Linked DNA regions of Saccharomyces cerevisiae S288C. The gene in region 2 interacts genetically with the main gene of each other region. Each region holds a gene or a part of one and is shown on either strand. Other genes may lie near its edges.

Region 1 (2,894 bases), on a different chromosome or scaffold from region 2:
CAAGACTCCCGCATAAGATTTGCAGGCGAACATACTATCATGGACGGCGCCGGCTGTGCCTATGGTGCTTGGGAAAGCGGAAGACGGGAGGCGACTCGAATCTCTGACTTACTGAAATAGAATCTATTTTTTCGAAATTACTTACACTTTTGACGGCTAGAAAAGGATATACATACATATTAAAATTTTTAGTAACACTCTGTGCTTTTTCAAAAATTTGAGGTACACCTAATTCTCCCACTTGTTGCTTATACCAAGTTTGAACAATTTTAATGTTAAGCACAATAGATTGGAATATTATCATATGGTGGTTCAGAGAGTAGTAGGGTGCATTTTCATTCCTGTTGCCTCAATGTGTTTTCTATCTGTATTTACGTGATTTTATGAAGTGGTGGCATCGCTTAGATGTGGTGCATAATTAGAGACTAATTTTTGAAACCACGCATGAATGTCAAGTAATTCTAACTGAGCATCTGTCATCAATGGCACTTGCAACTTCAAAAAATCCCACCAATATTTTGACGGCACCAATTTACCTTTGAATTTTATTTGAGTTTTCCTTGTTAATCTTGCATTCAGAATTCCATAGAAAAAGAATTTTTCAAATGGAATTATATTTGTAGAGTGAGAAAAACATCCATCACAAGTGCAGTTATCCGGAGGACATATGCATTCCTTGTCAGTGCATTTACAATCATCCAAATAATCCATCATCTTATCAGTAATTTGAGCTTCACCAATATTGGTTAAAGGAACACCACTTTGTTGAATATAAGAATTCAGTTCCTCTTCGCTTCTATGGATTAGACAATTAACACATGGGCAGCTTTCATCTTCACAAGAGCACTGCGTGCTTAAAAAAATGCCCTTATGAGTCAGGACTTCAACTTTCGAAGCAACGTCGCTTGAATGAGGAGCAGCAATCGTTGTTGTACTTTGTGGGGTGAGTGTTTCTGAACTGTCATGCGCACCAGGAACAGAACTATTGTAGTTTTCTTGTAAAATATCGTTAAAAGCGGACGTAGATTCCAAGGAGCCGTATGGCGTAAATATGTCATCAGACGGTGCCTTGTTCGTCTTGCCATTAGAAGCTGGGTTCTGTGATTTATCTTTCTTACAGCAGTTTGAAAAATGTCGTATAGGCTCCTGTTGAAGCCGGCTTCGCTCTTTCTTCTCACTTGAAGAAGATGACTTGGTAGAGTCCGGAGATATTGTTCCTGTTGCCGGAGCTTTGGGAGAGTGTTTCCTAAGAAACTCCGTTTCGGTGATATATTTGTTACCATCATCGGTAAATGTGCTAATATCTTTAGGCTCATGAGCAGTGAAACCTTCCTCCATTAATATATGCAATTTTCCGTTTATCATTCTTGCCTTTCTAACAGCAGAGGCACGTACAAACAGTATTGGCTGTTGATTCATTGCGCTGCAGCAGTCACCTTCAATTTGTGCACCATTTTCGTATTCTGTACTTTGCGATGTAGAGTCTACTAAAATAGCGTCTCTGATAGCCATGGGTGAAGGTCTTCCTCTAGTTCTCACCTTAATTAGCATTCGGTGAGAATGCCTGCATGTTGAAGAGCGATGCCCTCTGATGCACGATGCACACGCATATTTGTTCCCATTAAATATTATCATCTCTGATAGAGCTTGAAGAACTTACCAGACTGTTTCAAGTTTAAAACAAGGCGCCTCATCGCATCTACCTCACGAAGATGCAGCAGCTTATTGTCTCGAGATCCTTCTTATAACTCCTTTTCGCCATTACCCGAAAACGAGATTACAGCCTCTAAACCAAGAGCTCGAAAAGCGCCAAAGTAAACTCTGGCGTTTAGCGTACGAAGGAGATTATCCTAAAAGGAACTTCCCTAGTAATAGTGTAATTTGGAAGGGCATAGCATGTCGAAAACCGCTCAGAAACGTCTCCTCAAGGAGCTTCAACAGTTAATTAAAGATTCTCCACCTGGTATAGTGGCTGGTCCCAAATCGGAGAATAACATATTCATTTGGGACTGCCTAATTCAAGGGCCTCCAGATACGCCATACGCTGATGGTGTTTTTAATGCTAAGCTAGAGTTTCCTAAAGACTATCCGTTATCTCCACCTAAACTTACTTTCACACCCAGCATACTACATCCAAATATTTATCCAAATGGGGAAGTGTGCATATCCATTCTACACTCCCCTGGTGATGATCCTAACATGTACGAATTAGCGGAAGAAAGATGGTCGCCAGTGCAAAGTGTAGAAAAAATTCTATTAAGTGTTATGAGCATGTTGAGTGAGCCCAATATCGAAAGTGGTGCCAACATTGATGCTTGCATCTTGTGGAGAGATAATAGACCTGAATTTGAGAGACAGGTAAAGTTATCCATTTTGAAATCATTAGGATTCTGAAAGCAGGTAGCAGGTTAATGATCATTTGGTCTTCCTTTTAACTGTTCTCTATATACATAAATAAGCATATCTACCATCTAAAAGAAAGCAAATGTCACATAATAAATATGTTAAAATCTCAATGTCTTCCTGGCTTTTCAGGAATTCAAACCATTTCCATTTCGTTGGTGTATAATCAGGGGCCCCTCTACTCTCACCTCTCTGTACCGAAGCGTTAATCAATTTTCTTTTATTTATATACACGATGATTGTAACTAGGTTATTTTCCTATACAAAATTTGCTGAACACTGAATCTAAGATTTCCTCAATACCAATAGCTTGTCCTGTTATCTTAGCTATTCCATCGGATGCATACCTCAAATTTTCTGTGGCCAATACTATATCATTATGGAAATCTTTGGATTTGAAAAACTCTTCCAAGCCGTACAGTACGTCGTTTTTGAGAATCTCTGACACTCTTTTGGAAACAATGACAGGACTTGCATCGGCACTTGATTGA
Region 2 (2,473 bases):
CCACATATCGCTGATGATATCCAATTTGAACTAAGACAAGTGGATCCGTACTACCGTCTAACATTGTCGCCAAGCGGAAACGATTCTGAAACTCAGTATTACACCACCGGTGAATTCATCCTTCCAGACCGCCATGGAGTGTTTACATTCCTCACTGACTATCGTAAGATTGGCCTGTCGTTCACTACTGACAAAGACGTTAAAGCTATCCGTCACCTTGCTAATGATGAATACCCAAGAAGTTGGGAAATCAGCAATTCTTGGGTTTATATTAGCGCCATTTGTGGCGTCATTGTTGCGTGGATATTTTTTGTTGTTTCTTTCGTTACGACTTCCTCTGTTGGCAAGAAACTTGAAACATTCAAAAAAACAAACTAATATATGTTTTCATATCCTTTATAATTCTTTATAAATGGCTCACATAAATACATAAGAGTACCTGATTGTGTTTATTTATATTTTTTGCCAAACTAAGTACTGCAATAGATTTTATATATGGTTTAGTTTTTAACGACTTGAATCTTATTGTCTTTTTTCCATTTTTCAAACTCTTTTGCAGTTTGTATTAAGGTTTCTTTCATTTTACTTATTGTACCTTCTATGTTTTCCTTCTTAGTTTCAAGAATAGGCAAACTCGTTTGAACATCACTTTCAACAAGTGCGCCACCTATCATCCTGTAACATTTTCTCGTCGGCTCAGCGTCTTTCAGTGTTTTTATGACTATAGTGTGTTCATCTTTGTCATGACCTAATTCTATGATTTTTGTTTGCAATTCTTCCAAAATTTGTTTGTATTCATTATATTTTGCTTGAAAGACTATACACAGAGAAAACACAAAGATTGTTAGTAAGATAAAATTGGCTACATGCATTTATTAAAACCCAGAGATCGAAATTTTGCATACCGTTGTTCCTTTGTTCCATAGCTGTAATATAGTTCTCCACTTCTCATGAATGAGTTTTAAAGATTAGTGAGTTTAGGTGATGAATTCTTTTTTTTTTTTTTTTCATTTACTTCCAGGCGGCAGCGTTCGCGATTTTATCTAAACTTACGTCAACACCACTAATATAGAGTTAAGGAACATACAAGTAGGATTTAAGGTTAGTTTATAATGTGTGTTCATTTACTTTTCTTTATCGCCCCCTTGTCATTTTGCCTGGGGTGAATTGATCCCAGCGAGTATATAAAGGCACCAAAAAAGACTAGGTAGACCCCGATGTAGCCAGTATATGACAAGTTATTATCGAAAAGTCGGACGCTCAGTAAAAGACTTATAAATTTTCTTACAAGTAATGTTATGGAAAGTGTCAGAGCGTTTGTTTTACTGGCGAGGATATTAACACCCTTGACGCAAAAATATTGTGTTAACACATTGAAAAGAAGGAGAGTTTCTTCTCGCGGGACTAGAATCTTCCCTCCAAAATTTGAACACAATATTCTTTCAGACTTTCTCATCACTCGATATTCGTGAATTAACTGCTTTCGACTAAATAGAAAGAGAGGTAATGATAAAAAATGACTGTAAAAGATATTCTCCTTCCAATGCTTTCCATATTTTTGATACGTACGTTCATTGTATGCTGAAAGTAAAGATGATGTGAATGATGAAAGTACTAGTATACAAATGCCAAAAATAAAAGTGAGATCTACAGATTGGTCACTTCCAATTTTCCACGCTTGCAGTTTCAAATCTTGGTACCGAAAATCAGCATCTTTGAATAATGAGGCAATTATAGCTCCAATGGTTAAAAATAGTGTTGATAAAATCTGAATCTTTGTATATTTCCTACCATTTAATAACCAGCATGTAAACATGGTTATTACGGTTCCGAAGCATCTGAAAACGATATGAATCGGAATGGATATGTTGTATTTAAATACGTTATTATTCGTCGTAGATGAAATATAAAATAAAACGACAGTAATGACATAAACGTGAAGTGGAGTTTTCAGAGGCTTGAAGTAAGGGAAAGGTTGATGAACATCCAGAAATTCGGGGAGTCCCTGACATGTAACAAATAAAAATTGACAAAAAGTAATGAGATTATTAATGCTGCCTGTTTCGTTGCTCATTAAGGTTTCAAATGTAATAACATTGGAGCAACAACCTCCGAACACTAGAGCGAATGCTTTTAGTGAGTTCCACATTTTTTAGATTCTCCCAATCCAATTACTTCCCTGCTTATTCTCAATTGAATTCTCTTCATTTTTTCTAACTGGAGTGCAAAGCACTGAATATTTTTACTTTGCGTCGGGAGCGATTGCTTCCTTAAAATATGACAATGAATATATAAAGGAAGAGTATGCGTAACCAAACCATAAGAAAGGCAGAGAGTGCCTAGCATGGTAGCAGACTTAACTAAAGGTATACTGAAATGGAAATCAAGAATAGAATTTGATGCCGTTGGAAGCAGTTCCTATTACGAAGAGTTAAAGGGCTTACCTCCCCTTGCATCCCATAAAAAATTAACA
Region 3 (4,470 bases), on a different chromosome or scaffold from region 2:
TACTTCTCTTGATTGCTGTGTGCTTTTTCAAAACTGATGAATCCGCTATCATCTTTAACTGTTATTTTCCTTTTTTTAATTGCTCTTTACTGTTCTTGGAACAAGAGATTATGAAGTCTATAAAAGAACATATATATAAGTATTTAAGAGATAAGCCTGATTCAAAGACGTTTGCAAGTTTCAGTCACTTGGCCTTAACAATCTTTATATATTAATCCCTTTAGTACCTGCACAATTAAGGCCGAGACAGACTCGAAACAACCCCAAAACTTCTTGATCTTTATTAGCTGATGCCAAATTTTTTGGTACCACACTGAAACGAACTTCGTAAATCCATTATTTGTGTATTTTCTTAACGAGAAGTGCCTAAAAACTGCCTTTTATGCGCTGTCTTCTGAGAATAGATCCCGTTCAAGGCAAGCGCCGGGCAAGCGGAGGCGCAGTCTACAGAACAATCCGCACAAGGAAAAAAGCACCCGAGATCTGGGACCCTCACCTAATCATTTATCGTTATCCACGACAGGGTGCGGTGATTGCTGTGTATTAATGAGTGGTTTCAAAGCCCTATCCCGCAGTCGTTTGGCACTCTGCAGGGCCTCAATCATTTTATCCTTCCTCTCGAGCATCTTCTGTAATTCGATCACTTCAGTGCCGTCACACCCAGTTAGCGACATTGCAGTATGACCACTTTTTTCTAGCGCCATGATCTTGTCTTCAAGTTTTTGAGTGTATTTCCTATATTGCCTTATTTGTGATTCCAAACCTTGGAACTTTGTTTCCAAAAGGGTGCCGACCTCAAAGGGAAGCATTTCTACAATTTCCATAATCTCAGAATCTTGCAAATCAACCACATCTTTATCTAGTAGTTTTTCACAATTCTCTAGTTTATATTTTAATACTCGATTCTCCGCTCTCATTAGAGCCAAATTCGGATCACCATCATTGCCGGTGGCTTTAATGTCTTTATAAGTACTTTCATTGGAAGATTTGGTTAAGGGCTCGCCAATGTTTGAACGGTTCTTCAATTCAGAGATCATCCTACGTTGTTCTTCCAATTGGCGTCTCAGTAGCTCAATGGTGCGATCTTTATCTCCATCGTTATTCCCGTTACTGATGATGGATTTTTTGGATACATGAAGTGCGACGTTTTTCGCTCTTGATGCAAACCTCAGCGTATTCATAGTTTCCGCTGCCGCATCATTTCTGGTGTCGACTGTACATATCGTTGTCACTATGCTGTCACCGCTTAGTGCCGGCTGCAATAATCTAGTCAATTTAGAATCACGATATGGAATGTGGTTGCTTGGGCTAGTGCCGTTATTGGTAGCATTTCCACTACTGCTGCTACTGCCACTTGCAGATGGCGAGGGAATGTTTGAGCCTACTGAGTTCATCTTGTCGGCACTGAGTTTGGATATCACAGTCCCCAAAGCAAGTAAGGATTTGTTGATGAATGAACCTTCCTTTCTCCTCTCTTGTTGCCCCGTAGCCCTTTCCGAACCTGCTAGGTCACACAACGACAATGTACTCGATCTTGAGGTGCCGTTCTTTACGTTAGTACTTGTTAAACGAATCAGTACAATGGCATGAGATCGTGAGCTTCTTGCATTGTAGTCAGTTTCGCCAATTTTCCTACTTTTGTCACCAACTGCAATCCACCTCAATAATTCTTCACTACTTTCACATCTTCTTTCGGTGAGACCGATAACTTTGACCCCATACTGAGAGTCATCTCTGATTTTTAATTCTACGCCCAATCCATTGCTGTTGCTCTTGCTCATATATAACCTTGAAGGAGTACTGATTCTACTACCGGATTCTTCTAATCCGCTTTCTAACAGGTCGTAAATCCTTTCATTGTAAATTTCGAGGTACGATATTATAACGTCGAACTTTTTATCGCCATTCATTGATTGTTCCATGATATTGGTAAATAAATACGACACAGATAAAGGAATTAGGCCTAGCTCTTGTTCATTTCCGCTCATTGTAAACGTTTTACCTGACCCGGTCATACCGTACGCAAATATGGTGGCATTAAACCCCATCAATAACTTATCAATCATTGGTTTACTGGTTCTTTCATAAACTTCCAAATTAGTGCAATGGGAAGCAAAAACATGATCGAACTTGAACTCTCCAATTTCTTCATGCACTATTGTTTTGTCATTAGTAATAAACCAGGGGTCTCTAACAAATGTATTGCTACCGTGATGTGAGTTGGATCTTGGTTGAGAGTACCTGGGCGATTTTAGCCCCACATGGTCACGGGAAGTTCCAACGCTCCGTGGTTTCGGCCGGATGGTCACAGTGATTGACCCAGTATATGTATCGTTTTTTCTCGAGTTGTTGTTAATACTGTCGCTCCGCCTGATCCTTATCCTACCTGGGTGAAGGAAGGGATCGGATTTGGCTGATACGGATCTTAGTGGGGAGTTACTTCTAGTGGAAGATGCAGAAATCGACTGAGAACCCGAATTAGAGGTGCTCCGTATGGAGTTTCTTGTCAGATTAGAAAACGATGAAGTTGATCGTACAGAGGGCGATTGTGGGATATTACTTGAACCAGAACTAGACCTCGTTGATGGCCTCCTTAAGCTTGGGCTCATTTTTTGAATCATCAATGGTGGTATTATGGTAAGAATTTTATCAAGTGTTCTATGTTTGCCTTGATTTCAAATGTTTCTAGAGCGCAGCCTGTGAATCTCTGCAGCCTATTTCTTTTTATTTTTCGCTTCTGCTTACATTGCTTTATTATCAATTGTTCCGCTATTGGAAAAGGATAAACAAGGAAATTCTCGAGCCGCATCATCGGGCTACCCGCATATAATGACATTATGGGCAGCAGCATAGAACAATGGATTCTAAAACTGAGGACAAGATGGTTTGTCTTGTTTTTTTTTTTTAAATATACTATAGTTTTTTTTATTGTTATCTACTTATAAAAGCTCTCTAGATGGCAGAAAAGGATAGGGCGGAGAAGTAAGAAAAGTTTAGCTCAAATTGCTTTGGCCAAACCAACCGCATTGTTGCCCAAATCGTAAATAGAATAGTATTTACGCAAGAAGGCATCACCAACGATGGCCAGTGGGCCAACAGGTTCTGGGAAATCCATTGGTGTAATTGCAGAGATACAGGAGCCTGAAACTTCAAGCGTGTAATCGTATGGCCCAATAGTGAAGTTGTAGCCATTGAAGTTGAAAATTAGATCAGGTAGATTGTCTCTGGTGTTACAGTCTAGAGTATATTGACCGGTCCAACCCTTCTTGGCCCCAATTTCAGCATTAATCATTTCAGCTAATCCTGATGGCAAGGTAATCAAAGAAGTACCAGTATCGATGGCGGCACCATGGCTCTCCAATTCGGCGTACTCGTCGCCTAAACCGATACCTTCAAACTTGACTTCCCAGTAAGCCTTACGACGAACAGGTAACCAAGTGATATCGCCCTTGAACTTAGACTCGTCAATACCACCAAAGGTGGCTTCACCGCCATTTTCAGTATCCTTTGAAGTGTCTCCCAAATAAAAGGCAAATCTCTTTTCGTCCAACAAATCTTGTTGAATGGCGTTGTAAAATGGAGGGACCACCTTATCAACAGAAATGGTATCGTAACCCAAACCCAAAATACCATCGAACTTGCCAAATGCAAATGTTAAGCCCGGCTCGCTGGTAGCCTCAGCGAAGTCTTGTTTTGGAATGGTCAAATCCCCGATGGACAAAGTGTCTTGAGAAATGTAACCTTCCAAAGAACCAGTACCATATTGAATGGCAAATTCAGTACCATTAGCTTTGTAGCTTGATGAAGCTTCATGATCGTATTTAGAATGTAGGAAACAAGCCAAGGAACCACATTCGTTACTTGGAACCCAAAGGTTTGAAGAACCAGTATCCAAAATAACCTTGAAGTTTTGAGGTGGAGTACCCAAAGTAATGTCAGTGTAATATTGTGCGTTCAAGTAATTTGTCAATGGAACATCGTGACCACCTTCAGTGAAGAAAGGATGCTCCCTAGAAAAAACAACTTCGGGGTTAGCTTTCTCAAATTGAGTCAAGTACTTTTGGCCTAAATGAGCTAAATGTTGCTCGAAAGTGACTTCTTTCATCTCATCGGACAACTCGTGTTTATAAATTTTAGCCTTGTGGACTTTTGCAGCAACTTGGTTGGCGCTGACCAACAACAAGGCCAATGGCAATAATGCTTTCAAGCTGAACATGTTAGTTTTGGTTTTTGTTTGAATTTTATTTGGATTAAATACTAGGTCACTAGGCTTTTTTTTTTTCTTTTCTTATAGAATTCTAATAGAAAAAACTTTTTATGAATACAGTAGGGTGAGATATACTTTTTGTTATTCTTCCCTTACGTGGTAGGCTTCTCAAATAAAAATAGAAAAGACCACTAAAATTTGATTATAAAGGCTTCGCTCAAAAAAGAAGAAGGTGGAATGAATAAATAGCAGCGAATTACCCA

What was found. A genetic interaction does not mean that the proteins touch.
Region 1: mutations in GIM4 (region 2) and UBC7 together harm fitness more than expected from each alone (negative genetic interaction), as found in Saccharomyces cerevisiae (6 studies listed by BioGRID).
Region 3: mutations in GIM4 (region 2) and KIP2 together harm fitness more than expected from each alone (negative genetic interaction), as found in Saccharomyces cerevisiae (6 studies listed by BioGRID, with this or other methods).

What each region holds. Positions count from the first base shown.
Region 1 is NC_001145.3:316,784-319,677, forward strand, and holds UBC7 (E2 ubiquitin-conjugating protein UBC7), read left to right. Parts: upstream 1-1,896; coding exon 1,897-2,394; downstream 2,395-2,894. Other genes in the region: FMS1 (polyamine oxidase), read left to right, coding at 1-120; MAC1 (Mac1p), read right to left, coding at 382-1,635; MSS1 (Mss1p), read right to left, coding at 2,654-2,894.
Region 2 is NC_001137.3:146,627-149,099, reverse strand, and holds GIM4 (tubulin-binding prefolding complex subunit GIM4), read right to left. Parts: upstream 925-2,473; coding exon 906-924; intron 818-905; coding exon 501-817; downstream 1-500. Other genes in the region: WBP1 (dolichyl-diphosphooligosaccharide-protein glycotransferase), read left to right, coding at 1-378; YEA4 (Yea4p), read right to left, coding at 1,121-2,149; VAB2 (Vab2p), read left to right, coding at 2,345-2,473. UniProt on the Saccharomyces cerevisiae protein: Binds specifically to cytosolic chaperonin (c-CPN) and transfers target proteins to it. Binds to nascent polypeptide chain and promotes folding in an environment in which there are many competing pathways for nonnative proteins.
Region 3 is NC_001148.4:256,716-261,185, forward strand, and holds KIP2 (Kip2p), read right to left. Parts: upstream 2,622-4,470; coding exon 501-2,621; downstream 1-500. Other genes in the region: pheromone-regulated protein PRM4, read right to left, coding at 1-52; PEP4 (proteinase A), read right to left, coding at 2,999-4,216. UniProt on the Saccharomyces cerevisiae protein: Required for assembly of the mitotic spindle.